3 linked regions of the Lytechinus pictus genome follow. The protein of the gene in region 2 interacts with the protein of the main gene of each other region in a pairwise test. Links are inferred from orthologs where the notes say so. Each region holds a gene or a part of one and is shown on either strand. Other genes may lie near its edges.

Region 1 (10,532 bases), on a different chromosome or scaffold from region 2:
ATTCAGGGTTTGCCATACACCGTGCCTAAGGGCATCCAGCAGGTAGATCATATGGGTAGCCCTGCACAGTAGGATATGAGACAAAAAAGACCATGCCTCCAGAATCAATTCTTAATGGTATGGTAGTACACTAATCAATATATATATATCTGACTAAAATTTGCACTTAATTTCCCATTTATATGTATCATTTAATCCATCACCGCATTAGTCAAATTATCCTCATGAGATCTGTGTGATTGAGATTGTGTGTTTAATAATATCATATGACGTTTGCACTTTAAGCATTACCTTAGACTTAACTCTTTGTGAAACACCCTCCTGGTTTTAATAGACAGGTTTCATGAAAACATGATGGGACTATACATTACTCACAAGCAGTGCTAATGACAGCAAATGTTCTTTCTTTGGGAGACCTTGTGATATTGTAGAGGTAACAGAGGTTGAACTGAGGGGAACTCGCTTCAGGCTGTAAAAATTTTCTGCAAAGGATGCACCTGCATGAGAAGAAGAAGAGCTTTATCATAAAGGGAGGATAATGAGAAGAAATATATATCATGAGCAGTGTTCCTGTTGGGTGGAAGCAGGAATATCTTTCTTAAAAACATTTCTCCCCCCCCCCCACACAAACCCTAATTTCATGAAATTCTGGATCTGCCTAAACCCCACGCGAAACGAATGAGACAAGCTAAAGCTCAAAATTAACCAAATTACTTTAACCAACTTGTCACATTGTTCTCTGTGCAATCCTTGCGGGTGAGTATTTTTGCTACCCGCAGGTTGCCCGCATTGACAGTATCTTGCACGCATCTCTCACGCAGTTGCCAGCAGAAGCGCACGCAGAAAAATTTTGAACTTGCTCACAACTTTGTTGCAGGAGAGTTTGCGGGCAATCACCTGCAACTCACTCGAAAGGCTTGCACAGGACGATGTGACAGGGCCTTTACATAACAAAGTCATCTCACTTTTCTAGACAACAATGCCCAGGGAACACTAATTAACTAGTTATTACAGTTATTACAGCTATTACAGTTAAATTCCAGTGCATTTCACAATGACGATGGTTGCAGATTATAATTTAACCTTCATGAAGTCTCTGACTTAAATTTGCTTACTAGTGTTGGTGAGAAAGTGATGCTGTAGTATAAGATCAAGGGTGGAGTATACTTCATCAGACCATCGATGTAGTCTTCCAAACTGAGCAGGGTGATTCTCAGCAAGTACCTGGTAAAGTAAAATAATCTCTATACACTAACATAAAGCAAATACAACAATAATCTATTCAGTTACAATACAATATTCAATTTGTTGTCTAATATAAAACTTGACTTTGAATAAACCACTCCTTTTATTCTTTGGGGAAAATCCTAAAACACTTTAGAGAAAAGTCATTAATACCTCGCAAATCAAACAAAGTTTAGATTGCAATATTAGTTTTTTATTGAAATTGAAAATTTTCATTCAATATCATTTCATAAACTCTAGAAAATTAGTCTATATTTCCTGTTGCAAGAGCAAACTAGCACATCAATGATGTGGAGCTCATCCGGCATCTTGCAACAAAATTTAACACAATTTTTTATTTCATCCCAGTTGATACTGTAGTGAATTATATTGGAGACATAAATTGAGGAAACAGAATTGAAATTGATGAAGAAATGACAGAGAAGCACTTTTTGGTGATTTATGAATAAAATTTGTATGAATTAGCATAAATAATTATCTAGTCAAAATTTCTAGAATCTGTGTAGAACCTTGGTGAACCTCATGTAGCTCTCAGATGGAACAAAAAAATCAGTCAACAACTAAATAAGCAGCATTTTTTGTGAGTTTTGAAAAATATGCATAAATTAGCATATTTAATTAATTTAAAAATTCTGTGTAGAAATTTTGTATCCCCACCTAGAGCTATCATATAAAGGAAACAAAATTAAAATTGATCAACAAATGAAGGAGAAAGGGCATTTTTTGTGATTTATGAATAAATGTTGCATAAATTAGCATAAATAATTTTCTAGTCAAAATTTCAAAATTCTGTGTGGAAGTTTGGTAACCCTCATGTAGCTCTACCAGATGGATGAAAAAAAAAATCGAAGTTGGTCATCAAATAAAGACGAAGAAGCATTTTATGTGAATTTTTAAAAATATGCATAAATTAATTTTGCATAAATTAGCATAAAATTTTTTCTAGCCAAATTTTGTGTAGAAGTTTTGTGAACCTCATGAAGATCTACCAGAAGGAAGCAAAAAACTCAAAATCGGTCAATAAATAAAGAAGGAACAGCATTTTTTGTGAATTTTGAAAAATGTGCATGAATTAGCATATTTAATGAGTTTCAAAATTCTGTGTAAAAGTTTTGAATCCCCACCTAGTGCTATCATAATAAAGCAATCAGAATTGAGATCGGACTTTAAATGAAGAAGCAGAATTTGGAAATTGTGGACGGACAACAGACGACGGACGCCACGCCAATTCAATCCCTCAATTGCAAATTTGTAAATAAGACTAATGATTGATTTAAAAAAAGAAAAAAATTCTTCTAGAAGTTCTATGCAATGTCTCCAAAGTCTAGGTTCTTTGAGAGCCAACAATATTGTGCAGTAGTAGAACAATATTCTAGGATGCTGTTGAATTCTTTAAAATGATGTTTTCATGAAGAGTACCCTTTGACTTACCTTTAAGAAGTAGGACAGAGCAGGTCTCAAAGTAACCATTAGGCTCTCTTGGGCAAGAACCTCAAAGAATGATGGTCGATTGTCAGTGGTTGCTGAAGTAAGATGAGCTCCGAACTCTGCCATTGTGATTTAGAATTTGCACACATCAGATTGCAGAATAGCAGTATCTCAGTTTCTTCTCCAGGTAGCCAAAGTTTCCTTTAACAATAAAAAAGATCGATTTCTAAAACAGATTGACTGCTGAAATTAGACATTTGCTCACTATTGAGCAAAACAAGCCATGGAACGATGAGTGAAATTCTTCAAGTTGTAAATAGTCAAGTACAGTAGATCGAACTTAGAAAAAAGGTCAATAATAATCTGGAGAAAAAATAGACTACTAATAAGAAATATAATATCATTTTGTTTGGAAAAAGTTATAAAAATACCTGTCAGCTATCATTATTTAGTGTTATTAAACAACCTTTTACCACTGAATTCCAGTGTGCAATCTCGTCATAATCTAAGTTTTTCAAGTACATGGTATTGAAATTCATCCAAACGTGCAGCAAAATGTATATACATGCACAAATTGCTTAGTTCTGAACTCGTCCATATCACAAATACATATCTAACGTTAACTCGGGACTACCTGTTACTAGATCTACTACACAAGCTACCATGACTATACAGCAAAGACAGAGTTGCATCCCTTTTGCTGGTATTTCTCAGCTGAGCGAGACATGGACATGCAAGATATCCACTATCAATGGAAGTTAAGTTCGATCTACTTTAATGTTAGATGTAGAAAAATTAGAAATCCCCTTAAGGCTTGAGGGGGGGGGCAATGGGGACTAATGTCCCTCACACTGTGTACGAGTACGTAGCTAGCCGTCTACCGCGTCTGGGCTGTGAAGGAGAAGAAATTTAAAAATATATGTTTAAACACTCCAATTACTTACGTTACGGCCCACCCATCCAACAACTGAATGTAAGTTTTATTGTTTATCCTTGGTTTTAGGGACATAAGTTATTTGTAGATCTACACAAAAGTGCTTGCTACCTTCAAACTGATCCAAATTCAAAGCATACTAGACTCTGTTAGGGATCAAATCTAGGAATTAGATCAATAAAATTGTACTTGATTAAACAATAGTTAGTATCTGCACTATTTCATTCATAGACCTTATTTTTAATTTAGTTGCCCATAAATTTGAATTATCCAAAGTTCCCCTTATCGAACTGCTTATCATATTTATTTCACAAAGCAAAACTGACATATTGTATGTAGGCCTATGAGAGAAGCCGAAATTCGAGATCAAGCGGAAATCATTACCAAAGATAACCTCAATAATTTAATTCGTGTAAATTCTTTCTTTTTTTTTTGAGTATTTTTTTAGTTTTTACTTTTATCTTATTTAAAGGCCTAATCCAGAATTACTTAATGTCGACCGTCATCGCCTCAGCTTCACTCACACCTAATGCGTTGCTACAACGTTAGTGCGATTAACTTTAAGTTTAACGTTTTTTAATTTTAGACTGATGATTGATACCGTACTGAATATGTCCCCTGCCCTGTTGCGGAGGAGTTTTTTATTTTTAACAAAATTTTCTGATTTTTTTTTGACGGAGTGGAGCCTGATGAAGTCTCAGCTCAGCAGAGCACATCCCAGAAAGAAATAGACCTTTTTATATGGGTCTACCTCAGACTCGGCTCCACTCCTAACGTTAGTACCAAGTCAGACCAAGTCCAATGAGGTCCAAACATTAACATGCTCGGCTCCATTCATTCTAGGCCAAGTTCAAGCTTCAGCAGCATGCAACCAGGCAGTATACCAGGCCCAGGGGCAGGGCCCCGGCGCGCCTTAGTCTTCTTTATCTTCTGAATATTGATGCGTTTGGATGTTACTGTTAATGTTATAAGAAGACCCCACAGAGGCTTAGACTTAGCCACGTACGGACGGACAGCAGCCCGATCGACCGACCGGCCGCGCCGCCCGGCCATCAGCCCGGCGCGATCATCACGCGACTGCCGACATTGGAAACATGCGCGGGGAATTCAATTTGATATCCTGTTTTTACAATTTACCTCACGATGCAGCGTGACATAAATAGCTTTCCTATACCTCCATCCTTCAGACTGAAGCTGAACAATGCGGGATTTAGTTCTACTTCTGATATCTTGGAGCTGAAACCATCAGAACTCAGCAAGGGTAAGCAAGCAGCGACATATCCTGTTTTTATCCAGCAAAAGTTTCGTTTGTAGTCCCATATATTTACAATTATGTTAGTTGGTTTCTCCCTAGAACTTAGAAGCCATATCATATGCCAGCATCCATATCGGCCATCTGAGTCTGACTCCGAATATTTGTAACTTACTAGTAGTTTATAAATTTGTGTGAATCACTGCTGGCATAAATCGTGGCCCGGCTTCGTGGGGGGGGGGGGGGTGGGCCGTAAAGATTTTGGGAGGGGATACTGTATATCCTTCAGTTTCAGGGGGGGGGGGGTGGAGTTACTGCGGCAGCCCGAACACGTAGAGTAACATTAATAATACATTCTCCCACTTTTCAAGAATTTTTTTTTCTTTTTTAGTTTTATTTTTCTTCATCCTAATGCCAATATTATAATGCCTTCTAAGTGCTAAAATTTACCTAATTTTGCATTCTAAAAAAGTAAAAGTGCAAAATTTCTTGCACAGTTGCTCCGCTCCTAACTTAGTGCTCATGACGAATCTTAGTTTTCTTACAAATTAGGCCATAAAAAGCAGATATCTTCTAAGTTCTAGTAGTAGTACACCAGACCAGAGCTCTGAATTTTCAGGGTTAGGCTCTATTGATCAATTATGTAATTGATTATATTTTTTGAGTAATTGCAATTTGTAATTGAAATTTTTAAAGGGAAAGTAATTGTAATTGAAAAATTGTAATTGACTTCAATTACTGGATTTGAATAAAGAAAGAAAAATCCAACAAGCATAACACTGAAAATTTCATCAAAATCGGATGTAAAATAAGAAAGTTCTGACATTTTAAAGGTTCTCTTAATTTCACAAAACAGTTATATATGCACATCCTGGTCGGTATGCAAATGAGGAGACTGATGATGTCATCCACTCACTATTTCTTTTGTATTTTATTATATGAGATATGAAATATTCTAATTTTCTATTGTCAAATGAAACAGTGATTAATTCCTCCCTGAACATGTGGAATTAGCTTTGCAGTTTAATGCTACATGTATATGGTTCAGTCAAGTCGGTCTTTATATGGTCAAATCTGTAAAAAATGAAATAAAAGAAATAGTGAGTGATGGACATCATCAACTGACTCATTTGCATGACACTGTTTTGTGAAAAATATGCGAAACTTTAAGTTGCCATAACTTTCTTATTTTACATCCGATTGTGGTGAAATTTTTAGTGTTATGCTAGTTTTTTTCTCTACTTATTCAAATCAATATTTTGCTGGGGTGGACTTGACCTTTAATCTCTTGCATGCAAATATATCCTTTCCCATGCAGTGGCGTAGCTAGGATTTTTTTCCTGGGGGGGCACTGGGGGGTCCTTGCTTTTTCAGGAGGGGCACCATTTTTTAGGTGTGTGTGTATGTGTCACAAAGGCGGATCCGACTTTCGCCAATAGGGGACGGTGCCCGAAATTATCTTCACCTATATTTTCCCGATCAGTCACTTCTTAGTTTTATTCTTATAAAACAACATTAACATGAAATAATCTCATAAGCCTTATAAAAAGTGCGAGCGCGAAGCGCGAGCGATTTTTTTTTACTTTCATGTATTTTGTCCTGAAAATTTAATATTCTGGGCAATGTTATGTGTGATCCTGAACAAGATTCGTATGTAACTAGATGGTTACTGCGAACGCCAAGCGCGAGCAGAAATTTTTATTAACTGTTCTAGCATTATCGAAAAGGGACCTGTTAAGGACTGCTTACAGTTACCCACGAAGACGGTATATATTTCAATAATGCGAGCGTGAAAATTCCGACCTAAAAATGGTCATTCTAAGCACTTTTTGTATTAATAAATGGGATAGGTATGTAACTAAACAATTGATGCGAGCGCGAAGCGCGAGAGGTAGAAAATTGAGATCTCAGACCTAAAAGCGGGACACTCTAGTCATATTTTGTAAATCATAAATAGGATATAGTTAATTGGGTATCATTAATAATGCGATCATGAAGCGTGAGCAGACAATTATTGATATTCTGATGTGAAACTGGATAATTTAAGTACATTCTAAATAAAGAACATGCAGGCTATCGCGCATGTTTTAGATTTAGACCTAGAATCTGAGCATTCTGAATACATTTGTTTTATGGAACATTATGGAATACACCTAGACAATATGAACTTGGCAAATCAAACAATGTGACCACGCAGCGTGAGCTTAAAATGCTGATATGTAGACCATAAAAACGGACATTTTACAGAGCACTTAAATTTGTAAATGAAAACAAAAATATGAAAGCTCGATGTCCGAGCTAAAATATGTTTTGTACATAGACTTCAAAACTTGCTCCATATCAGCCTATTGAGCAAGATATGAATCTCATCGAACAGGCAATTCTGGCGCGAAGCGCAAGCAAACATTTTATATGGTAACATGAAAGATTTTTTTTTTGCAAGTCTTCCCCTCACATTATTTCATTCACTCGTCTTCCTCCTCTTATTTTCCTCTTCTGTCTTTCTTCTTTTTTTTCTTTTCTCCTTTCTCCCTTTTTTTTTGCTCTGCCAATTTTTTTCAGGGGGGGCACCTGGGGGGGCACACCAAATCTCAGGGGGGGCACGTGCCCCCCCATGCCCCCCCGTAGCTACGCCACTGTTCCCATGATGTGGAGCCAGAGGAAAGAGGATACATTGCTATAACAAGTGCACAAATTGAACATCTGAAATATTTGGGACAAATTTGCAAAACAAAATAGGTTCTAACACGGAATCAAACTATGTAATTTTTTATACTAGCAAAATTACATTTCGTATAAACTCATGTAGTGGCCTGATTTTGTTAGTAAGAAAACGTAAGATGTTTACTAAAATCTTTAGAATTAAGTTGGGAATACCTCCTCAAAAAGTGAGTTTTTAGTGGATGAAAATATTTTTCCTGCCCCCTATAGTTGAAAGCTGGATCAGCCCTTGATGAACGAGGTCACAACTCTCAATTCAAGTTTACATTCATGTTGTACATCATGATTTCTACAAATGAAACTAAAGCATGCAGATCTGCATATTATTGAGAATGTCAGTTGACTTTAGCATTGAAGGGAGTGATAGGCAGGATCAATGCTCTCTAAGCTAATAATCATTCATTTTGTCAGTTTCTCTCAAACATAGAATTAAGTTGAAATGGATGACACTACATACAAAATATAAATTGATTTCATGAAAGTAATTGAAATTGTAATTGACAAAAGTAATTGTAATTGAAAAAAAAATTAATTTAATTGAAAAGTAATTGTAATTTAACATTTCTTCAATTACCTAATTGTAATTGTAATTGAGCCCAACCCTGACTCTGATGATAGGATGCATATTTAAATTTCAATTAGGTTTTTGATATATCCCTGTCAGTATACAGTACGAGAGACAAGTACCGAACGCACATCATTGTTTTTTTTTTTTTTACCATTGTACTCGCTGCTGTGTATTTATCATTGCAGGTGACAGCTTTGTACTCTTTCAGATAGATTTTGTAAGCTACAAAAAGTAATTAGTGCACACAACTCAGAAGAGAGAAGACAAAATTTGACATCAGTAAATGAACTGGTGACTTAAAGCAGGATAATTCCAACATTTTTGGATTTAGTATAAATTAAGTTAATGTAGAATGTGGTCAGTGACAATTACAAATCTTGTCTTTGTCAATAAAATTGATTCTTAATGGCATATTTTTGTGGTTTTATATCATTCTCAAAGTCAAGTATCAACTTAATAATTCTCTTTTTTTTCTTCTAGTATTATATTGTGTAGATGTAATTGTCATAGTTTTTTTCTTTAACCTAACACCTTTTCAGAGATAAATATTTCTAAAGAGGATGCTCTGGAGCTGATCAAGACATTTAAGTCGGGAGCAATTAATCCTGTGCTGCACGAGAAATCAGAGAAAGATCTTGAAGACGAGGAGCTATTAAAAGGGATATCATCAGGCTCTGAATGTTCAGGACTAAAATCCAACAAACTTCCCGTTACTGGCTCAATATCAGGTGCTTAAAATAACATGGTGCATCATGTTTTTATCAGAGTACTGGGTTTAACATTTCCAGTGAAACAGCATGATTTCCAATTCACAAATAATATTTATGTTTTTAATCATGCCTTTATTATTTAGATTTATTTCATTCATTTATTTATTTTCTAATCAAGCCATTTGTCTCAGTCTCTTTATCATTCAATTAATACAAGTTTGTATCCTTCTATCTGTTCATCAGTCCACCTTTCACTCTCTATCCATCACCTGATATATCAATCCTCCTATTATGTATTTCCACTTACCCGTTCATCATTTTATCTCTCCATTATATATCCATATTACCATCCATCTATCTATCCATATTACCATCCATCCCCATGTTCATCCATATTTCTGTTTCTCCATCCATCTCCCAATCCATTCATCTTTCTATTTCTCTCCCCAGCCATCAATCTATCCATATATGCCCATTGATCCATCAATCTTTCCACATTTACATCCATTCATCTATCCAACCACCTATCAAGCCTATCAAATTATCCTTATCTATCACTTCAACTATCGATCTATTCCGTCCGTCCATCCATCTATCTGTGGTCATGTGTCATGAAGTCACCTACTTTGGCATTACATGGTGATTTTTGTTTTTGGGTCGCCTCCTTAATTTCAAAAGTCTCTATCTCACTAACTATTATAGTAGAAGTGTACATTTTCTGAAAGGAAATTGCTTATTGAACCCAAATATTTTTAGGTGTAAGGCAAGTGTTATATTGTGTTGAATAGAAAAATATTGATAATTTTTTAAATCTCATATTAGTGATCATAATAATTTGTATAGTCCCCCTATGACCAAAATAATCATATATCTGTAAAAGTACAGAGTTAGACGTGTATATCAATGTATACCGGTAGTTTTATTGGGTTTATGGTAAAGAAATTACTTCAAAATCAACCAAAAGTTATGCAAATATTTTTCAAAAAATTGATATATTGTGTGTGCTATTTTCGCCTGCATTACCATTACATGGTAGGTATATCTGCTGTGTTCATCAGATTTTAAGGTATTAAAACAATTTAAAGCAAATTGTGATAGCATTAAACCAATTGATTATTCTAAGATTCTTCACATATTGTTAGTGTGAATGTCTCTGACCTGTGTCATTTGACCTTTAAGATCTGTAACAAAACTAGGTATCACTTTCATCAACAGAATAGTAGAAATCACATTTCTGTTTTTACACAAAAGCTACATTGAAATTAAGAATAATTGTAAAGAAAATATGTGCCAATATGGAAGAATTTTTGAGAAAAGTGAACAATTTTGACAATTTTTCTATTTCTTTTTCAATTTATTTTACCTTGTTTTTTGTTTTAAATGACAATGACATTGCCAAACTTATTTTTCAAACAATTAACAGTAAAGAGGAATGTTCTAGCTTTCACTTGATACCAAATTTGTCATTAGAAGTCAAATTTACACAAAAAATATTAACGTTTTACCCAAAATAGCACAAAATATTGAGAATCTCTATTGACTTTGTACAGGTGGCACTGCTCCGGCAGCACCACTTCCGGCATCAACACTGGTGCTCTGTCTTTAAAGATAGCCAAGTTCTATTTATCTTAGAGTAAGGAAACTGTGTACATTTTTAGCCAATGAATTCAGCTT
Region 2 (10,858 bases):
ATATAGTCGTGCGGTGTTTCGGCGATCTGTATAGCACAGTACACGCTGAATGGACGTGGGAAAGATAAGCATGATCATTGTTCGAGAAGCGTTTCACGAAGTGTCACATCACTCAATCTTCTCGGATGAATTTGCTCTCGGCCAATCAGATGCAATGATTTCGGTAGCTTATCACAAAAGTCAGAGAAAATCACCGACGAGAGACTCTGTGCAGCCCTGCAATTTGCAGTTATTACCAGGCTTTCTTTAGTTTGGGTAATCATGATTAAAGTCTAAATGGCTACTTGAGTTGATGAATGAAATAAATCATGATAAATAAGTAATAATAATACAGCAATATGATATGGATCGGTTCTTCCCAGCAAAAATATGATTTTGCAACAAATTCAAATGAACTTTTATGAATATAAATTGTTACTTTCACACACAATATTTTAAGGTCTGATTTTATATCATCATATTGATATTCGTAATTGCAATAATCAATCATTTGACATTAGTTCTGCAAATGATGAATGTTTAAACAAATGCCTTTTTTTTTCTAAAAATTTTCATACAGGCCTACAACTAAATATTGTTTTATGATTTGATAAATGAAAGCAAATTGCCAAAGGGATACATTAGTGTATATTTTCGATGCACCACGTACAGTCTCTGACGAAATTCGTCCATTGTCGGATAATTTTCGGATCATCGGTTTTCCGGTTTAGATATCCGTCCAGTGTAGTATACTCGTGTTCATACAGATTATATTTTTAGATTTTATATTCTGTGGTGAAAATTGTGTGTTGTTGGCAATGCATGCAAATCTGTGTTTTAGTTCTTTTTGCCATGATGGCACTTTTTGGAGCAAGATAAACCTGATGATCGTATCAATATTTTCTTATTTGGTATCTCAATATCTAGTATGTCTCCATTCGAATGGTTCAAGGTTTCACAAGAATACTTTATTATCATACTACGACTGCTTTCTTGTAGGTCTAATTTTCATGCTATTGTCTTACTAGATTCACCACTGTGATCATCATATCATGTACGATCGTGATGTTTCCCGAGAAAAAATCATATCATTAGGAAAGTTCATTACTTTTCCATAATAGTTTGTTTAATTTACATGAAATCGAGGGTGAATGCGAATTCGACATACAAGACCATGTTCGAAGAAAATGCCAAAATTTTGAAATCCGAAGCATATTTTCTTGTTTCATTATAAAGCGATAATCTTTTAAGCTAAATCATCGTTCATATTTCTTTTATTTATACACAGAGATACTTGTAGATAGCATATGGGGTTTGCAGGGTATATAACTTTATAAAAAAACTGTGGAAAATCACTTTCCTTTTTTGATCATTCATCTACATGTATTTATCAACATTGTTTCCTATTTTCCAACTCTTTGCTCATTTCCTACGCAGATAAAGTTCATCGATCCCAATGCATGGACCGCGGAACCTGGGGGCTCGGAAAGGGGAGCCTCCCGTCCCTCATCCTTTTTTTTTCTCAATAAACGTGTAGAAAAAAACTTTAAAATGAACATCTGGTTTAGTTTTTGTATGATAAGCCAAAATTTCCCAAACCGTTCACTCTTAAAACAGATCAGTCAAATTGACTAGACCAGTAGTCAGCTGGGAGCAACTGATATGGCAATCACTGATAGTCACATATCTGACATATATTCTAGTCAGAAATAACTCTATTTTAGTAAAATAGTCAAATATGACTAGAATAACAGTTGCTCCCAGCTGACCCTATTAACCAGTCATTTTTTACTGATTTGTTTTTAGAGTGTTCCGCGGCCCCTGGATCGTACATTTTTTTAAATTCATACTCTAGATGGCATTTTTTTATATTCTAATAATGGGCTGTTATCGAACATAAAACATCGCATAACGACTGTGCTGTTATAGGTGAGAAATGGAATAGGGGAATAATAAGATACTGTTATAATTGGGTAATGTCTATTCTTTTCACCTAAACAAACAGTTTTGATTTGAATTTCTTTCCGAAGCATTGAACCCTTCATGAAATATGATTTTTCTTATTTGCATATTGTTTAAATTTTCATGGATGTCTGGCCTATGCTTGTCCATTTTTTGTTCCTGCTGTTTTGATTACGCAGCAAAGAAGTCTCCTCTATTATTACGCGAGTTGCCTTTAATCTATAGAATGAAATATGATATATAATGTAAATATTTGATCTAGTATCATCTCAATAATTGATTTCATCTCAAAGAGTCGATATTTTGATTGATTTTATCTGTTTTTATGCTTAATGTGGCCATTGTTCTGAGTGTGCGTAAAATGTTAATAAACTTTAATGCACTTTACTTTACGGAGTATACCCGCTCTTTTATTTGAGTCTATTTACCGGCAAAGCTATTTTAAAGAATCTATGTTGATGAGTATGGGCGTTTCGATCAGAGGTTGTGTGTGCGTACGTGGAGGGGGGGGGGTATTGGATGGGGAATAATACCTGGTGAGTGTTTCATAAAGCTGTTCGTAAGTTAAGAGCGACTTTAAGAGCGACTGGTGAACCTTTCTTACGCGCTAAATAATCACTAATGAACATAATGGTGAACCGTCACTTACCACAAGAAAGGATCACCAGTCGTTCTTAAAGTCGCTCTTAACTTACGAACAGCTTTATGAAACGGCCTCCTGAAGTGTTAGCATCTCTGAAATGAAAGGGATATTATAAACTCAAAAAAGTTTGGAAATCTGAGTTTGGCCATTAATTTCTCCCAACTCCCAATTTTACACAATGCATATTTGATATCATTCAAAATATCATTTAATTCTCTTTAAAATTATACCCTACATGATATGATTATGGTTCACATGGAGGTGCAGTGCCTTGAAATGAGGGGCAGGGTCAAAATTCAAAAGTTGCAAAATGACACAATATTGAAAGTCACTGTTCTTTTTTTCGTGGTGATGAGTGGGTTTCTGATCGGTTTCTTTTATTTTCATGCACCTTAACATTAAAGGACAAGTCCATCCCAATAAAAATTTGGTTTGAATAAAAGGAGAAAAATCCAACAAACGCAACACTGAAAATTTCATCAAAATCGGTTGTAAAATAAGAAAGTTATGACATTTCAAAGTTTTGCTGAATTTCACAAAACAGTTATATGCACATCCTGGTCGGTATGCAAATGAGCAGACAGATGACGTCACCCACTCACTATTTCTTTTGTATTTTATTATATGAAATATGAAAAATTCGAATTTTCTCCTCATTGTCATGTGGAACAAACTTTTGTTCCTCCCTGAACATGTGCAATTACCATTATTTTAACAGTTTGTGGTTGAATCAAGTTGGTCCCAATTGTCAAATCTGTAAAAATTGAAATATTGTATAATTCAAACAATAAAAAACAAAAGAAATAGTGAGTGAGTGACATCATCGACTCTCTCATTTGCATATCAATGAGTTGTGCATATAACTGTTTTGTGAAAAATAAGCAAAATTTAAAAATGTCATAACTTTCTTATTTTACATCCGATTTTGATGAAATTTTCAGTGTTATGTTCGTTTGATTTTTCTCTATCCATTCAAATCAACAAATTTTTGGGGTGGACTTGACCTTTAACATGGAATCAAACACACCTCTGCACAAGCAAACACATAACTAACAAACAAACATGCATGTGTATTTCAAACCATGTTATCTCACAGATCTCCATGTTAATGTTGCTGTTAAGGTGCATGAAAACAAAAGAAACCGCTGAGAAACTCACTCATCACCAAGAAAAAAAAAGAACAGTGACTTTCAATATTGTGTCACTTTGCAACTTTTGAATTGTGACCTTGTCCCACATTTCAAGGCACTGCACCTCCATGTGGACCATAATCATATCATGTAGGGTATCAATTTAAAGAGAATTAAATGATTCATTGGTATCAATTACACATTGATATTCACTAAAAACGAGGAAGGATTGTCGATCAAAGTCAGATTAAAACTTTTTTTGAGGGGTTTATAATTCATGACCGAGAACTTTTCCAAACTCCTTTGCTTTCTGTTTTATGAGATTTTTTTTCCTTCTCTTTTATTACTTTTTTTAACACAAAGTATATTGATTTTATAAAAGTGTTAAATTGATCAAAAACCTCCACATTCTTCGATGCATAGGCCTATCCTCCCCGGTGAAGTCCATACATACTCAAGGGCAGTGTCGGGATAGGGGGAGAGTATATGATAAGGTGCCGCGACCCCCTCCCTCTCAACAATGAAATAACAGGAATATGCCCTATACTCCCGTTTCCCTTCCATTCTTTTGTCGTATCCCCATCCCCTTTTAAAATAATTTTTATTATATTTTTCTCAAACTCATACTGCGTCAATGGCACAGTGAGCCCGATATTTTGTATGGGCACAGTTGGGACAAAAGAAAATTGTATTTGATAAAAAAATGAGTGGTAGCGGAGCAAGCGAGAAAAATTAAAGAATGGAAATATGTGATAGATTATGACTAATATATATGTCACTATTTTCTTTCTTGTATCCTTCTTTTCTTTCCTCATTCTTGTTTGTTTATGTTTGGAGGAGATAAATCCCCAAATTAAGTAGGCCTATGTCGTAAACTTTTGAAAGCCTTATTACCTAAAAAAAATTAATAGTGATTGACTTGAAGAAAAAGTCCATCCCAGCAACAACAAAAAAGGAAAAACTCCAATAAAAAAAAAATCATCAAAATCAGATGCAAAATAAGAAAAATATGACATTTTAAAGTTTCGCTTAATTTCACAAAACGGTTATATGCACATTCTGGTCGGTATGTAAATGAGGGGACTGATGACATTTTCACTCACTATTTCGTTTGTATTATCATTATGAAATACAATATATTTTAACTTTCCCCTCATTATAATGTAATACAAAGTTTCATTCCTCCCTGAATATGTAAATTACCGTTGTTTTAACATTTTCTGCAGTCCATTTATCACTGTCAAATCTGAAAAACTGGAATATTGAATAATTAAAACAGTAAACGAAATAGTGAGTGAGGGAGGGACATCATCGGTTCTCTCATTTGCATATCACATATTTGTGCATATAACTGTTTTGTGAAAAACGAGCAAAACGTTAACTATCAGATTTCATTTTACATTCGATTTTAATGAAATTTTCAGAGTTATATGCTTGTTTGAATTGATTCAAATAAAAAAAAAATTGAAATATTTTTTTAGGGGAACTTGACCTTTGAGAGTTAAGACTGATTTTCTTGAAACGATTGGCCAATAGAAATCTATATATTTTACTATTTTATGTCCATCACAATAGATCGGATCGAATGAAATAATTTGAAACCCCCTTTATAGCAGTGCAAATAACGAGCTGTCACTGCAATGAGCACGACACTGACATCAATTTTGATTGCCTAAAAGGTATAGGCCTAATCAATTAAAGATATATGCGAATTATACAAAATTATGTCGATGCAAAGAAATCATGAGGTGTATATGACATATCATATTCAATATATGGAGAGAGAAAAATAATAAAGGCCAACAGCTGCATGAGCAGATCGATCTAGTGCCAGTTCAATTATAACGAAACAATTTTATTAAACATCACCTAAATGATAAACTATACTCTACATGACTAATGTTATACATGTAAAAAAGTTAGAACAAAAAGCTAAAACTTAGTTCTACTCCCTCGTAATTCCACTGCATCTTCGGATTGACCCCCCCCCCCAAAAAAAAAAAATTATCGATGGAAATGAACTGCTATTGCACATCAGCAGGTGCGGCAATTTTTGTGAGGTTTTTGGTCCATTTAGGGGGAGAAAATCCACCCTAGTGTTTTGTGTGCAAATTTTGAAGCCCCCCCCCCCCCACCCGGGGGATCGCAGTCCACCATGCAGATCACCCCTTTTTGCCTTTTTTAATTTTGGCAATGTTTTGCAAGCCCGCCCTCATCGCTCGTGCTTATCTTAAAAATGGCAGCAGCTGATAGTGAGAAAGTGGAAGGAACGATGACCAGTCCGGCTGAAGAAAAACCCTCAAAGGAATCATTAAGTCAGGTGGTGGACAGTGAAAGTAAAGATGACGTAGATCTCGATCAGTTATTGGACAGTAAGAGCATTCTCGATTCTCACATGACCATAAAACCCAACGTTGTTGTAAGGGGCGTTGAAAATTTCGGTCCCACATGCTTGTTTTTGCGTATGCACCAAGTCTAACTAATTTGTCAAAGTTTTTGTTAATGACAATGTTATTCTGCCGAGTTTGCGTGATGTGGTGGAAACATTTGAAGTCTTCCTCCAATTAAAGGTTGGAAATTGATGGGTGCAAGTACTGTTTGCACTTGTAATAAAAAAATATAGGCCTAGGCGGTAGAAAATATAGGCCTAGGCGGTAGGCCCTATTTATAAAATATTTTTTTGTAGGCCTAGGTCTATTTCACCCAAGGCCAAGCAAGGGTTCATTACATGCCGCCGCGCACAGAAAAATCAAGCCATAGAAGTCGTGTGTTGGGGACCCAAGAAGTGAGATCCCAGCACGCGCGACCCACTAGTTAGAAATCCACTGCCAAACGCGGTTCGTGGTGCGAGCGAGGTTAGTATAGGGTAACGCGCCCGGTATTCGGTCACCTCCCAGAATTCGGTCAGACAGCTGTTTCAACAGCTGTTGAAAAAAAAAAAATAATGCATGAGCCAGAAAACTTTGGCATATCATGCAAGAAACCAGCACTTCCAGCCCACCTCAAAAAAAATGTCGATTAAGACAAGCACACAGCCAAAAACTAACCTTAAAATTGACCGCGTCGGGGGGGTTTTGTTTACTTCCGGGTTTCTTAGCTATTGAGTTAAGCGGACGCAACCTCATGTAAACTCTTGTGACGTCATGACTTTGTGTGTAGGTGTAGTGAATTTGGTACGAGTGTGAAGGGGAAGACTTGTGTGTTCACCCAGTCGCAGCGAATATGCAACTAGCAGTGAAACTGATGAGTAGCGAGGGCTTATACATTGCCCCTATAGTGAGAGGGCGCTCGACCAGAATTCGGTCGCGCAACATTGAGTGTTTTGCCGGTGTGTTTGTGAGGAGGGAAGAGCGTGCAGATACGTTGCTCCTCGCAAGTGAAACACTTATCTTAATCCATTTTTTGTTCTGTTAGGCCTAAATAAGTTTAGAATATATCTAAAATTATTTTTCATGAATAAAAATCTTAAATCAAAGATGTTTATTGCCTATGAAAATGCAATTTGAGCAGGTGAATGACGATGGTGACGAAGTTGGTAAATTTGACCAAGGCTCATTTTGATTGCCTTTGCGTGATTGAGTTGAAGTCTACATCTTTCTCAAATGATAGGGCAAATGATATGCCTACGTTAGGCCTAAATAAGTTAAGAATATACCTACAATTATTTTTATTAATAAAAATCTTAGAACAAAGATGTTTATTGCCTGTGAAAATGCAATATGAGCGGGTGAATGACGATGGTGACGAAGTTGGCGAATTTGACCAGGGCTCATTTTGATATTGCCTTTAACGTGATTGAGATTAAGTCTTAGTGATTTCCTTTTTGGCCTCAATAGTCAAACTCAACCTCAATAGTTAAACCGTGTTATTTTTTTAATGTTATCATAGTTATTTTCAATATTATTATTAATTTGAATAATACATCCGGTTCCAGGGATGATGGACCCCCAAGAAAAAAAAAATTAAAAAGGCTCTTCCACGAGTGTTATTTTAAAAGACGTCATTGCTAGATCAAAGGCTGGAAAATTGCCCCTCAATTTTGCCCGTCCCTCACATATCAGAGGTCTGCGGCTAATTTTTTTGGTCGTTTTAATTTAAAACAAGGGGCCTTTTAATATTGTCATCATTGCTAATAACATCAATCGAAAGTGGATGACAATGTTGACGAATTCGGTTAGAATTATCAGTTACTGTTGTGAATTCAATTGGAATTCAGTTGCCCGAGTTAGGCCTAAAGTGATTTATAGAATTAATAAAATGTTCCTTTCGTCTAATATTAATTTTAAATTCTTTGAGTTCATACTTTCAATGACTTTTCAAACAGATATCAAAATCTTTACTAACAGTATATCAAACAGCAGGTTGACAACTCGGTATTGGATGGTAGACAAGATGTCAAAAAGGAGGGCGTCTTAGGTATATGGGATACCTAAATCAACGCATAGGGATAAAGTAGGTCTACATCTTTTTATTTACTTAACCATACTCTGAACTTAAACTATTATATCAATCGGTAATTTCCATCATGCTGTGTAATTCAAATGTTCTAAAATTTTTCCTTACCAGTTTCTCCACAGATCGATGGGAAGACACCAGTAAAATCGCGGCATGGTTCCAGCCCTTACCTGTCCGTTGCTATGAAAGCAAATTTGGCGGCATTGGAACAGCGGATGGCAAAATTCGGGGTGAAGAGACTAGAGTTTCAGCAGATGATTCAAAATTAATTGTCGGTCTCGTCGTTATTTTGTCTTTCTTTCCCATTTAATTTTTCTCGTTCATTTTTGGGGGATTTAAAGGACCATTGATGTAGTAAAGGAAATGACAATAGCGAGGGCAGTAGTTTTGTGTTTTAATATGGAACCAGTAAATTATGATATTGAAGGAAGTTGCAATAAAACAATGAGCATAATTATGAAAAGGATAGTGTAAGAATAATAGATTAAGGCCATTATGATGAAATTAATTTATGTACATTATCTTCATTCAAATTATTTCATCAAGAAGGCGTACCACACTTGTATTCAAGAAAGATTTAGCATTGAGTGAATTAAAGATAGTCTTCAATGACCTCTTATATCACAATGTTCCCTAAAACTTTGTTTGATTTATCAAAGGAATGATATGAAATCCAAATTTCCTCTTCGCTTTCCCTATATCGGAGGCCGACGTAGATCTTATAAGTATCATTGAGCCATTAATTTTATTGTAAAAAATAAACTAATATAAAATCCAAGAAATTACAAAGAAAATATATATTCTACGCAGTTGTTACGCCCTGGTACTAATTATTTTGCAGTACAATAATTATTTTTACATTCTATTGTTTGTATTCATATCATTCTTAATTTTATATAAATTTAATGTATTGTACGTAGATGGCCAAACAGTAAATTTTGTTACAGAGTATTTGATTTATTGATTTCTTTCCATTTATGAAAGACAAGAGTATGAAACTTATTTGCCATTTGTATTAATTCTACATTCACCTTGCCATTCATTTCATAGACTGAAAAAAATAAACAATATCTTGACTGCAAAGACGTGAAGTTTCAATAACATGTTGCCCATTTGACTCTTTGTCTGTAATGAAATTGACTGAAACGATGATGCTGCGCCATTTTCTGGTTGATTCCGTTTTGGATTGTTGTATTAAAAATTCTGAGTGATTGAAAATTTATATAATCTTAACGAGAGGGGATTGATATGGTCAGCAGAGCAGAGGATTAATATTCATTGGGGACCTCTATTGTTGCATCCACCCCCTAAAAAATACAAAAGATAATCCTCTTCTCCGATGCCCATAGTTTGAATGAGCTAGTGTTGATCTACTATTTGACATAGGTTGTGTGGCTGATTATCTTTTGGTGATTGACTGGAGCGACTAAAAACAAAAACCAAGTTATTTGATAGATTTTCATGAATGACTATCAGGACTATCGGGATGGCAGATTAAAAATATGATTTTAGAAAATTATGAACATTAAGTAAAATCTCCAAAATAATAGATTCTACTCAGTAGCGGATCCAGGGATGAGCCCCCTTAATTTGACACTTTTATCATGTAAAAAGAAACGGGAATTACGGGTACACGGACCTTGCTCCCCGCTTGGATTCCCCACTGTACTGAATTACCAAATAAGCAAAATAATAATAATAATAATAAACAGACCAAAATAATTAAAGACTCCCTCAGACAAAAACAGAACCCCAAACAAGCGAGCATGCATCTGAAAATGAAAACGGCAAACGGGTATGAAACCATGCAAGTTGGAATGTTACCAAAACAAAACACAAAAACAACATAAACATAACATCGAAAAGCAAAACAAGTGATTGAAAGTAGGAAATTGAAATTCATAAACAAAATATAAGAACACAAAAACCCCAAACAAACGAGCATGCATCCGGGGCATGCATAGGAATATGAGAACGGCAAACAGGTAAGAAACCATGCAAGTTGGGATTATATAAATACCAAAACAAAACAGAAAAAAATAACATGAAATGTAACGTCGCAAAGCAAAACAAGTGATTGAAAGTAGGAAATTATAAATCATAAACAGAGTAAAATAATACAAAAGGAGTTTTGCCTGTAAAAGAGGGAAGAAAAAATACAAAAGTTAATTATTAAACATGTATTTTCATAGAATGAATAATGAAACATATATATTCAGTTTACGCCATCACATGGCGAAATTTCAAACAATACCGTTCAGTCTCAATTCTTCCACCTGTTCTGTTATTTCTAGTGGACTAATTAGGTTTTATTGTTGCTATTATTAAAAAGTAAACACTAGAAATGCATAATTAAGATGTGGAGATCACATAAAAGGAATAAAAAACAGTAAGCATAAGAGAAATTCGAATAGTTAACATCAGATAAATCGCGCGTTTTCGCGCGACCGAATTCTGGGCGGCGTGACCGAATACTGGGCGGAAAACACCACCTCGGTCTATCGGCAATATTTTGTTCAACAATATTCAATATTCTAAATGAGTTCAATAATCTGAAAGAGGACAATTTTTTCTTTCTCCTGGTCGGTGGATTTACAAATAAATGAGGTAGGTATTTATTTTACCGGCGATTTCCCCTTAAGTGACCGAATACCGGGCGCGTTACCCTACTAATACTTAGACCAAAAGC
Region 3 (10,861 bases), on a different chromosome or scaffold from region 2:
TTATTAATGTAGGAAGCTATCCAATTACCCATCCTTTTCATGATTCACAAAACATGAGTGTCCCGTTTTTAGGTCTAAAATCTAAATGTTCTTCCGCCCGCGCTTCGCGCTCGCATCAATAAATTGTTTGCATACTTATCCCTTTCACGATTACGAAAAGTGCTTGGTATGACCAAAAAAAAATAGTTCTGAGTGTCAAAAATTTTCAGCTCGCGTTTCGCGCTCGCATTAGTTAATTCTTTAAATATGTATCATCTTCATGGGTAATGCAATTGCAAACCGTCCTCAACATGTCCCTTTTCGATCAGACCAAAACGTTTATTAAAAATTTCTGCTCGCACTAATTGGCGTTCGCGATATCTTGTTCAGGATCACAAACATTGCCCAGAATGTTAAATTTTCAGGACGAAATGCATGAAAGTTCCAAAAAAATTAGCTCGCGCTTCGCACTCGCACTTTTTATATATATATTGGGCTTATACATGTTATATGAGATTATTTCATATTTTTGTAGCTTTATAAGAATAAAGCTAAGGAGTGACTATGAGGACTTCCCCTTCAAACAAAGAAAAATCAACTTTGAGCGGCCGATCGGCCCCACCCCCTATTGGCGAGAGCTAGATTCGCCCCTGTGACACACACACACACACAGAAAAAATTGTTCCCGCCATTAAAAAGCAAGGACCCCTAGTGCCCCTCCCCCCCCCCCTCCCCGGAAAAAAAAATCCTAGCTACACATGTACACCACTGGACGCATGTCGGAAATAGACAAGTTGCACAAATTGTATGCGTAACCTTTCACATTAAAGTGAATCGGTAGTCACTACTACCAGGGCCGGATCCAGCTTTCGCCATTAGGGGGGGGGGGGGGGTGGCGAAAAAAAATAATGAAAATTTTCTCCGATCGGCCGCTAAAAACGTAATTTTGTTAGTTTCTTTGAAGGGGTCGTCCTAACAATCCCTTGAGATTCTTAACTCTATTCTTACAGACAAACAAAATTGTATTTCTTAAATCCTTATTAAATAATGTGAGCGCGAAGTGGGAGCTTTTTTTTTTGGGGGGGGGGTTCCATTTTCCCCCTGAAAATTGCATTCTGTGCATGCTGCAATGATTGTGATCATGGACAAGCTGAGTATGTAACTAAATAATTACTGCGAGGGCGAAGTGCGAGCTGAAATTTTTAGTGCACTGACCTGACATAAGCACTATATAGTTTGTAGGCCTATCATGAACAGGATAGATTAATCTGAGCGCGAAGCGCGAGCTGTTTTTTGTGTGTGAAAAATTGACTTTCTAAGCACTTTTGTAACCACGACGAGTATGAGTATCTGATCAAATAATTGAAGTGAAGCATGGAATTGTATATTTTTTTTCCGACCTGAAATCCGAACATCATGTGTACTTTTTGTAGCCATGAACGTGATCTTCACTAAATAAATAATGCCAGCGCGAAGCTCGAGCCGATTTTGTTTTTATTCCAATCTCAAAACTAAAGATTTTAAGCGCTTTATTAATATAAAAATGTGCACTGTGTAACTCCATAAACAATTTGAACACGAAGCGTGAGCAGAAATTTTTAATATTGATTTAAAAGAGACCTTTTTAATCGCTGATTTTTCATCTACTCATTTTTTTCTTTTCTTTCCCCTTTTCTTTCTTTCTTTTTTTTCTTCCAAATTTCATGTTCTTCCATTTTCGCGCCGCCATAGGGGGGGGGGGGGGTGGTGCAGCCCCTTCGGCCCCTGGATCTGTCAATGGACTACTGATATTTTAATCATTGGTTGAAATCCCCCATGGCTTGGAACGAATGTGAATAAAGTACATGCAGAAAAAAACCGGGGAACCTTATTACATGGTTATGCTAATGTGCATATTTTATTTTATTTTTCCTTTTTTTTTTTACTGCAAACTGTTCAATTTATGTTCTAATCCCCAACCTCCAATTACACAACTATCGTTCAATTAATCCAAGATACATTGATAATTTTTCCTTTTCCTTTTTTTATATTTTTCCCCTATTTAGTATTCAGCTCTCGTTAATGCAAGAAATTATTTTTAGTTCATTCATTATTTTTATCTTAATATGACGTGCGTGGCTTTTTCCAACGCAATTACGCCTATTCACATAATCTCTAATACCGAATTTGTTAGATCTGCTTATTTATTTCACGTAATCCTTTTTTAACATTTCAGGGGATTCGCAGTTGAAAAACTTTTCATTGTAATTTATCAATAAATGCGCTTAAACATATTATGAAGAGGTAACAGGTAAAAGGGACTTAATCCATTTTTCAACATTTGGTATTTTTGGAAGGTTTAGACGGACATTCACCGCTTGTGCATCAAACTGACTAAAGTGCAACTCCCAAAAGATTCAAAAACTTTATTAAGAATGGACATGAAATTTACTTTTTCCACGCAAAACAGACTAAATCTGAAACATTGTTTATGCAAAACGAATTAAATCTACCTTTGCTGAATCTTCATAAACCATTTTTTTCCACCCAAATCTATATTACAATTCAGGAAGTTATCTTCCTACATTTATGAGCCATCAATATATCACTTCGTAATTCCGAAGGTTCATAATTCCGAAGGTTCTTTATTCCGACGGTTCGTAATTCCGAAACACGTAAATTGCCTATACCTCGATGTTCGTTAATCCGAAAACGTAAAAGGGTTCGTTAATCCGAACATTTGTGGCGTTATTCCGAAGGTTCGTTAATCCGAAAACGAAATAAGGTTCGTTGTTCCGAAGGTTTGTTAGTCCGAAAACGAAATAAGGTTCGTTAATCATTAGTTTTCGGACTAACGAACCTTCGGAATTACGAACCTCATTTCGTTTTCGGATTAACGAACCTTCGGAATTACGAACCTTCGGAAATACGAACCTTCGGAATAATGAACCTTCGGAATATCCGAACCTTCGGAATAACGAAGCTTCGGAATTACGAATGTATGCGCAATAGGTTGATGATAAAAATGATAGTTTAAAAATCCTGCAGATGTCTTTTATTTGATATGAATTTGTGTATATATTTTGGATATAATCCCTTTTTGCATGAAAAGTCCATGCAGAGGGGTAACAAATGTACAGAAGGTTTAACATGAACATTATAGTACTTATCTCTTCCCCTACCCTTAGTTTATAGATTGGAAATGGTTGACTGGTCTCTATACTAGTTACAGGTAGAAGATTTGCCTGACATAGCAACAAATTAAAATTAGTTTTCATTCAAAAAGGACTAAATCCATAAAAATTATAAATATAAAAGAATCATATAAAATAAAAGACATCTGCAGCTTTTTTTTTTTCGTTACCAATATTGATGACTCTTAAACATAGTATAGTAATTTCCTGAAGGGAAACATAGATTTGGGTGAAATTAGAAATGTTGATTTATGAAGAATGAGCAAAAGTGGATTTAGTCGCTTTTTCATGCAAATTCTTCATAACTTTGAATGGATCTAAAAACCGACAGTGTAAATATTCAAAACATCAAGCGTAATGAATTTGTTCAGGTTTGTCTCTCGATGACAAATTGGCCGTCCGCAAAATAAGTGAATTAAAAGCAAGATTTGAAAATCAAATAAGAATATAAAACTAAAAAAAAGCCATATATAAAAAGAAATATAAGAATATATAAATAATGATAGATTTATTGATTTGTATGGAATACACTTTCCTATGCATGGCCCTGGGAAGCGGGGGTGCTGAGGCACCTCCAAGATTTTCCCAGGGGGTGCTGCGTGTACACAGCAAAAACTGTGGTGTTAACCGGTGTACATAGAGGACCACACCAGTTGTTTTACACCGGTGTTAAATTAGTGGTGTTAGTTTTACACCCATAGGTGTTATTACAACACCTTTGGCTGTTACATTTACACTCTTTGGTGTTATGTTCATTCTCTAGGGTGTAATTTTAACACCTCAGGGTGTGGTCCTCTATTAACACCAACTGGTGTCAGTTTTAACACCACAGTTTTTACAGTGTATTACTCTCCATAGGCAGCACCCCTAGAAAATCTGGTATGGTAAATTTTGAAAAATATAGGGAAATTACGCACCTTTTGGAGTGAAAACCTTTCTTTATTTATTTTTGTTTGCTTGTCAAATTTCTTGGCACCAAAACGGCTTTTTTTTTGCTATTTAAATTTACTTCAGCACCCCCAGCAAAAAAAAAAATCGTTCTCAGGGCTCTGCATGCTTCTATTCTGTTTTATCAAGGACTCTCGTTGCCCCGAACCATAGGCTTCTTATAACGAGGACCTGTCGAGTGATCGTGTCAGCATATCTATCCCAAAACAAATCTAATACTCGTACTTCAAGAACAAAAAAATATTAAGTAAATTTTATATACATCCGTTTCAAATCCGATTTTGAATGTTTACATGATTTTGTCGATAATTATGCTCAATGTGTACACTCGTATATATATATTTTTTTATAAACATGTGAACATATATATTTTTAAGAATTCATTTCATTGTTTCTCCAACCGTCCTGCTTCAAATTGCCACATTAATATAATTCCTCAGTAACTCATTGCCCCCGAGATCCATACAGTTCATGACAGAATAGTATCATACTCACTTCCTGTAAAGAAAAAAAAACGAAGAAAAAAAAATAATTGGTTACCCATCCAAGCCAAATTTACAGAATGATGGTATTTTCAGAGTATCCGAACAGATTCATTTCTGATACCACCACAACCACCATTATCATCGTTATCATCATATATATATGATGAAGGAATTGAAAAATTAGACATTGATAAGGATCTAAAGAAAAAGGGAAAGTAAGAAATGTATATTTTGCCAGTTATTTTGTAATTGTATTTCAGAGTTTTGTATGTGATATTGATTTTGTATGAAAATAAATGCCCCTGTTATGGGTGAAAAAAACATCATCATCATCATCATCCACCACCACCACCACCACCATCATCATCATCATCCTCCTCCTTCTCCTCTTCCTCCTCCTCATCATCATCATCATCCACCACCACCACCATCACCACCATCATCATCATCATCATCATCATCATCATCATCCTCCTCCTCCTCTTCCTCCTCCTCCTCCTCCTCATCATCATCCTCCTCCTCCTCCTCCTCTTCCTCCTCCTCCTCCTCCTCATCATCATCCTCCTCCTCCTCCTCCTCTTCCTCCTCCTCCTCCTCATCATCATCATCCTCCTCCTCCTCATCATCATCATCATCCTCCTCCTCCTCCTCCTCCTCCTCATCATCATCATCATAATCATCATCATCCTCCTCCTCCTCCTCTTCTTCCTCCTCTTCCTCCTCCTCATCATCATCATCGCCTTGAGTAAAGTGGAAGGTACGCTACGAAAATTGGATTATTATGACCTTTAGCGGCAACAGCATCGTCACCAGTTCCCTATTCAGTCAATCAAACATTATTTTGTAATGTTTTATTTGAATAAATATATAAATCGTTTAATCACATTCCATGAAAATTCGTTTGGAGACACTATTGCTTCAAATAAAAATCCGTTTGCAATTGTTTTGCGTGAATCATATAGAATCAAATTAAAGGTATTATGTGTCACTATATGGTCCGAATGCATACTTTTGTATCTTGGAAAAAAATTGCTATCATTACGGAGGTAGAATAACAAACAACCAAACAAAACAAATAAACAAAGCCAAATCAAGTTGGTCTCAGAATTATTTGTTGGGTTTGTTTGTAGGAGACTAGGAGTAGCATGAGCAAGAGATGGCGCCCCACCATCCGATTTTACTACCCCGGCCAAATATGCAATAAAACCAACAAATTTTACAACCAACGGGACTACAATCTTCTTCGCGTAATTTGCCTGTTGATTAGGTTGATGTCTCGGAAAAACTCTGCTCGTAAAGAGTTATTGATTAAAAATGTCAGCTTCGCCATTGAATACACAGGAGCAAGCATGCATCAGTATGAAATATCTTGGTAAAATGTGTTTAAGATACCAAGAAACATGTGCTTGGTATCGAAAGTGGGTCGTCGAAAATCCTGACGTTGTTTCTCAAGTGGAAAAGACATTTCGTGTGCTTTCATACTGCATAACGGGTGAGTAATTCTCTCTTTATTAACAAAAAAAATCACGGTATTATTTTTCTTCTTAATTTCAACACAGCTCCTAACACTATATTGCATATATATATAAAAAAATGTGGACTTTAGCTATGGTAGCCAGCCTGAACTGTGTCGATTGTCCAACAACAGGCCATTTTCAATAATTCAAAATCATTGTCTTTCCACTCACTTCTCTGTTCTCACTCTCAGTCATCATGCTTCATCGATCATGGACCGTCTAATTTTTTAAATCTATTTTGTAGAAGTTGTTGTTTCAATTTTTAGAATAAATGAAATGGATCTAACTTAGCTAGGATAAAGGTAGACAGGAATAACTGTCGTTTCTGGGGATTTATTCAACAATTTCTGACATTTTACTATAGGGCCTAATCCCCATTCACCTTGACTTGAGTGAGCCAACGCAGTTCAGCGGAACAACCAAAATACAGAGACTGAAGCTTTTGGTCTAGGATAAAGGTACCTCGAGCGATGTTCGTGCAGGCTCCACTCCACTTCACTACCGCTACACTACGCTCCACTTACCGAAGGTAGGTGGAGCGTAGTGTAGCGGAAGTGGAGTGGAGCCTGCACGAACATCGTTCGAGGTAGGATATAGATTAAAGGCACCTATTCTTTATTATAAGCAAATGATTCACTAGACAGGAATAACCATCGTTTCTGGGGATTTATTCAGCAATTTCTGACATTTTACTATCATCCCCTTTCACATGACTATTGGTGAGTGAGCCAACGCAGTTCAGCGGAACAACCAAAATACAGAGACTGAAGCTTTTGGTCTAATGATTCACTCCTTTTCCTTGTTTTTATCAATCTCAGAATCAATAATTTAAAACCAGTGCAGTGTAGGCTGTATTAAGATAAACTAAAACTTAAGTTAAAGTAAACATGTCTGCGCACTTAAGTTATAATTAAAGTTAAGATTTAATAAGAATTCCACAAAACAATTCAGTTTCAGAAGTTCCTTATATTCTATGAGTAAGTGTGCCAAAAATCTCATAAAAATATGGAAAAACCTCGGCCAGTCATTTTCAGATTGAACAAAACAATGCCATGGTGCCCCATGTCTGCGCACCCATAAATTTTGATGAGAAAGGCTGCATTTTGAGGCTGTCACATGAAATGCCAATATTCATTATTTTTCCACCATTTTGAGTCAGATTTTTTAATCAATATCTTTCTATTTATTGCATGTGTAAAGTTTGTGGTTGCGTATCTTCTTTCTTTAGAATCATGCAGTTATGTGTATGCATGTGTGCGCAGACAAGGGCTTATTTTTTTTCTTTCATTCTCTCCCCCTCTCTTAATTTCTTTTTTTCTTCCTCTGGTTATTTTCAGTGATTTCCCCTTTTTGTATTGTGTGTCCTAGTCCCCTCCAAAATATATGAAAAATATATGAGATTAGGAAATTAATTAAAGAGCATATTGACCATATATATTTTGTCATGATGTTCAAGATAAAAATTATTAAAAAAAAGAAATACAACTAAAAGGTACATCTAGTCCGGGTTATAATTGAGCAAGGTGCCACAAGAAAAAGGAGAAATTTTCATATAGTGCTTCTAGACCAGTTTTTTACGCTGAATATGAATATATGAGGTAACCAGGCTGTATCCTGAAAATTAACCAGTGAGGGTGCTTTTTTCAAAATGGCCGCCGAATTTTCAGAACATTTGAATTTTCGTACATAGATTTTGACATAAATATTCCATTGCCACAAAATTAGTGTCATATGAAAGACAAATAAATTTTCTACAATTTGGTACTATTTATAGGGGATAAGTAGGTCATTTGGCTGAGATTTTAAGTAGAAAACTGCATTTTTTGTCATTTTTTCCCAAAAATTGAAAATTTAGCAAATACATGATTTTACATAATTCTGAGAAAAATGAATGAATTACCTTGAAATGTTCCAGAAAACTTTATTGACATACTATTATCATGTGGATGAAATTCCAACTCTGTATCATTCTTCTTAGCAAATTTATAAGGTATCAAACTTGAATACTTCAATTTCAGAAATGTCGCTTTTTGTATGCATTTCCATAGACTAATACGTATAACATGTACTGTACATGTATAATATGTATAATGTATAGTTTAATAAAATTTAAATGCAATTATCTCCGCTTTTTAACCACTTGGAGAGTTAAGAGTAGGCTTTTCTCTATCAGCTACATAAAACAAAATGTTGGCACATCAAGGCCTGACCCTCTCATGGGGTGGGGGTGTCGAAGTCACCCCCCCCCCTTGCCCTTGGCTATATCATGTTGTATATTGCCTATTTGTTGGAAAAATATCTGTTTTTTGGAGTACCCATTGAAGCAAAAACAGGCATTTCTGCTATACAGTACAGTCACTTTGATTGCTTTGAAACCACTTGGAGAGGAAAGAGTATATAGGCTTTGTTCTACCAGCTACATACAAAGTGGCACATCGAAGCCTACCCCTCTCGGGGGGGGGGGGGGTTGCTTAATATTGCCAATTTATTTGAAAATTCACAATTTTGGACCCAACATTGAGGCCAAAAATCGTTTGTGCTTTGTTGTACACCCCATTTTATTGATTTGAAACCACTTAGAGAGGAAAGAGTAGAGTTTGTTCTACCAGCTACATATAAATAAGCACTGGCACATTGAACCCTAGCCCTCTCATGGGCTGTCTAAGTCACCCCCCTCCCCCTCTATATCATGTATATTGCCGATTTATTGGATATTTCACCATTTTGGATCACCCATTCAGGCAAAAGCGCGTTCCTACTATATAGTACAGCCAATTTTATTTTCTTGCAATGACTTGGAGAGGAAAAATTAGGCTTTGCTCTATCAGCTACATATCAAGAACTGTTGGCAAATCAAAGCCTATCCCCTTCAGAATGTTCAGGGGGCTGTAGAATTTACCCCACCAATTTTCGGTAATTGACTATCTATTGGACAGTCACAATTTGCATCACCCATTGAGGCAAAGGGCGTTTCTACTATATAGTACAGCAAATTTCTTTTCTAGCAATGACTTGGAGAGGAAAGAGTAGGCTTTGCTCTATCAGCTACATATAAAGAAGTGTTGGCAAATCAAAGCGTATCTCCTTCAAGCGGCTGTAGAAGTTACCCCACTAATTTTCGGTTTTGGGCTATTTGTTGAAAAGTCACCATTTTGGAGCCCCCATTGAAGCAAAAAGGCGTCTCTGATATATAGTTCTGCCACTTTTATTGCCTTGAAACCACTTAGAGAGGAAAGAATAGGCTTTGCTCTATCAGCCACATAATTTTGTGCTGGCAAATAAAAGCCTACCCCCTTCTGCGGGCTGTCGAAATCACCCCCTCACCCCTTTGCGTTATTACCTATTTATTGGAAATTCACCTTTTTTGAGCCCCCATTGAGGTAAAAAGACATCTCTGATATAAAGTTCTGCCACTTTTATTGCCTTGAAACCAATTAAGGAGGAAAGAATATGCTTTGCTCTACAAAGAAGTGCTGGCACATTGAAGCTTACCTATCTTGGCGGCTGTCAAATCACCCCACCCCTCTTGCATTATTGCCTAATTATTTGAAAATTCACAATTTTTGAGCCCCCATTGAGGCGATATGCACTTCTGCTGTATAAAACACCCAATTTCATTTTCTTGAAACCACTTGGAGAGGAAAGAGTAGGTTCCCATCTTTCAGCTATATATAACGAATTGCTGCCATATCGAAGCCTGACCCACTTCAGGGGACTATATAGATGTTACCCCACCTTTTTTACGATTTTTTCCAATTCATTGGAAAACTCGCCATTTTGGAGCCCCATTGAGGCAAAAAAGTGTTTCTGGTATATAGTAGAGCCACTTCTTTATATGTAGCTGTTAGAGGAAAGCCTACTCTTTCCTCTCCAAGTAGTTTCAAGGCGGTAATAGTGGTAGAACTATATATCAGAACCGCCTTTTTGCCTCAATGGGGGCTCCAAAATCGTGAATTTTCCAATAAATAAGCAATAATGAAAAAGGGTGGGGTGATTTCAACAGCCCTCTGATGGGGATAGGCTTTTATTTGCGAGCATGTCTTCATATGTAGCTGTTAAAGCAAAGCCTATTTTTTCTCTCCAAGAGTTTTCAAGGGTGAAACAAGGCAGAAACATAATCAGAAATGACTTTCTGCCCCAATGGGGGCTCCAAAGTGGTGATTTTTTCAATAAATAGGCAATAATGCAAAAGGGATGGGTGATTTCGACAGCCTCCTGCTGTTTGCCTGCACTTTTTTATATGTGGCTGATAAAGCAAAACTTATTCTTTCCTCCCTAAGTGGTTTCAAGGATTTAAAAGTGGCAGAACTATATATCATAAACGCCTTTTTTCCTCAATGGAGGCTCCAAAATGGTGAATTTCAAGGGGGGGGGGGGTAATTTCGACAGTCCCCTAAAGGGAGTAGGCTTTTATTTGCCAGCACATCTTTTTATGTAGCTGATAAAGCAAAACCTATTCTTTACTCCCTAAGTGGTTTCAAGGCAGTAATAGTGGCAGAACTATATCAGAAATGCCTTTTTGCCTAAATGGGGGCTCCAAAATGGTGAATTTTCCAATAAATAGGCAATAATGCAAAAGGGGTGGGGTGATTTCAACAGCCTCCCGGAGGGGGTAGGCTTTTATTTGCCAGCACTTCTTTATATGTGGCTGATAAAGCAAATCCTATTCTTTCCTCCCTAAGTGGTTTCAAGGCAGTAAAAGTGGCAGAACTATATCAGAAACGCCTTTTTGCCTAAATGGGGGCTCCAAAATGGTGAA

The links. The genes of interacting proteins can lie anywhere in the genome.
Region 1: the proteins of peroxisomal biogenesis factor 19-like (region 2) and peroxisome assembly protein 12-A-like interact in a two-hybrid assay, tested with the Homo sapiens proteins (4 studies listed by BioGRID and IntAct, with this or other methods). The link is inferred for Lytechinus pictus from reciprocal best matches to the Homo sapiens genes PEX19 and PEX12.
Region 3: the proteins of peroxisomal biogenesis factor 19-like (region 2) and peroxisomal membrane protein PEX16-like interact in binary tests that used the Homo sapiens proteins (3 or more experiments, as listed by UniProt). The link is inferred for Lytechinus pictus from reciprocal best matches to the Homo sapiens genes PEX19 and PEX16.

The regions. Positions count from the first base shown.
Region 1 is NC_087246.1:9,739,797-9,750,328, reverse strand, and holds the start of peroxisome assembly protein 12-A-like, read right to left. Parts: upstream 5,096-10,532; 5' UTR 4,869-5,095; coding exon of another isoform or gene 4,751-4,868; 5' UTR 4,745-4,750; exon of another isoform or gene 4,341-4,744; intron 2,875-4,340; 5' UTR 2,800-2,874; coding exon 2,677-2,799; intron 1,225-2,676; coding exon 1,116-1,224; intron 498-1,115; coding exon 376-497; intron 1-375. Other genes in the region: DNA repair protein RAD51 homolog 3-like, read left to right, coding at 4,751-4,868, 8,688-8,876. UniProt on the Homo sapiens protein: Component of a retrotranslocation channel required for peroxisome organization by mediating export of the PEX5 receptor from peroxisomes to the cytosol, thereby promoting PEX5 recycling.
Region 2 is NC_087252.1:8,081,137-8,091,994, forward strand, and holds the start of peroxisomal biogenesis factor 19-like, read left to right. Parts: upstream 1-5,926; 5' UTR 5,927-5,950; coding exon 5,951-6,086; intron 6,087-10,858. UniProt on the Homo sapiens protein: Necessary for early peroxisomal biogenesis. Acts both as a cytosolic chaperone and as an import receptor for peroxisomal membrane proteins (PMPs).
Region 3 is NC_087253.1:15,131,374-15,142,234, forward strand, and holds the start of peroxisomal membrane protein PEX16-like, read left to right. Parts: upstream 1-5,766; 5' UTR 5,767-5,899; coding exon 5,900-6,077; intron 6,078-10,861. UniProt on the Homo sapiens protein: Required for peroxisome membrane biogenesis. May play a role in early stages of peroxisome assembly. Can recruit other peroxisomal proteins, such as PEX3 and PMP34, to de novo peroxisomes derived from the endoplasmic reticulum (ER).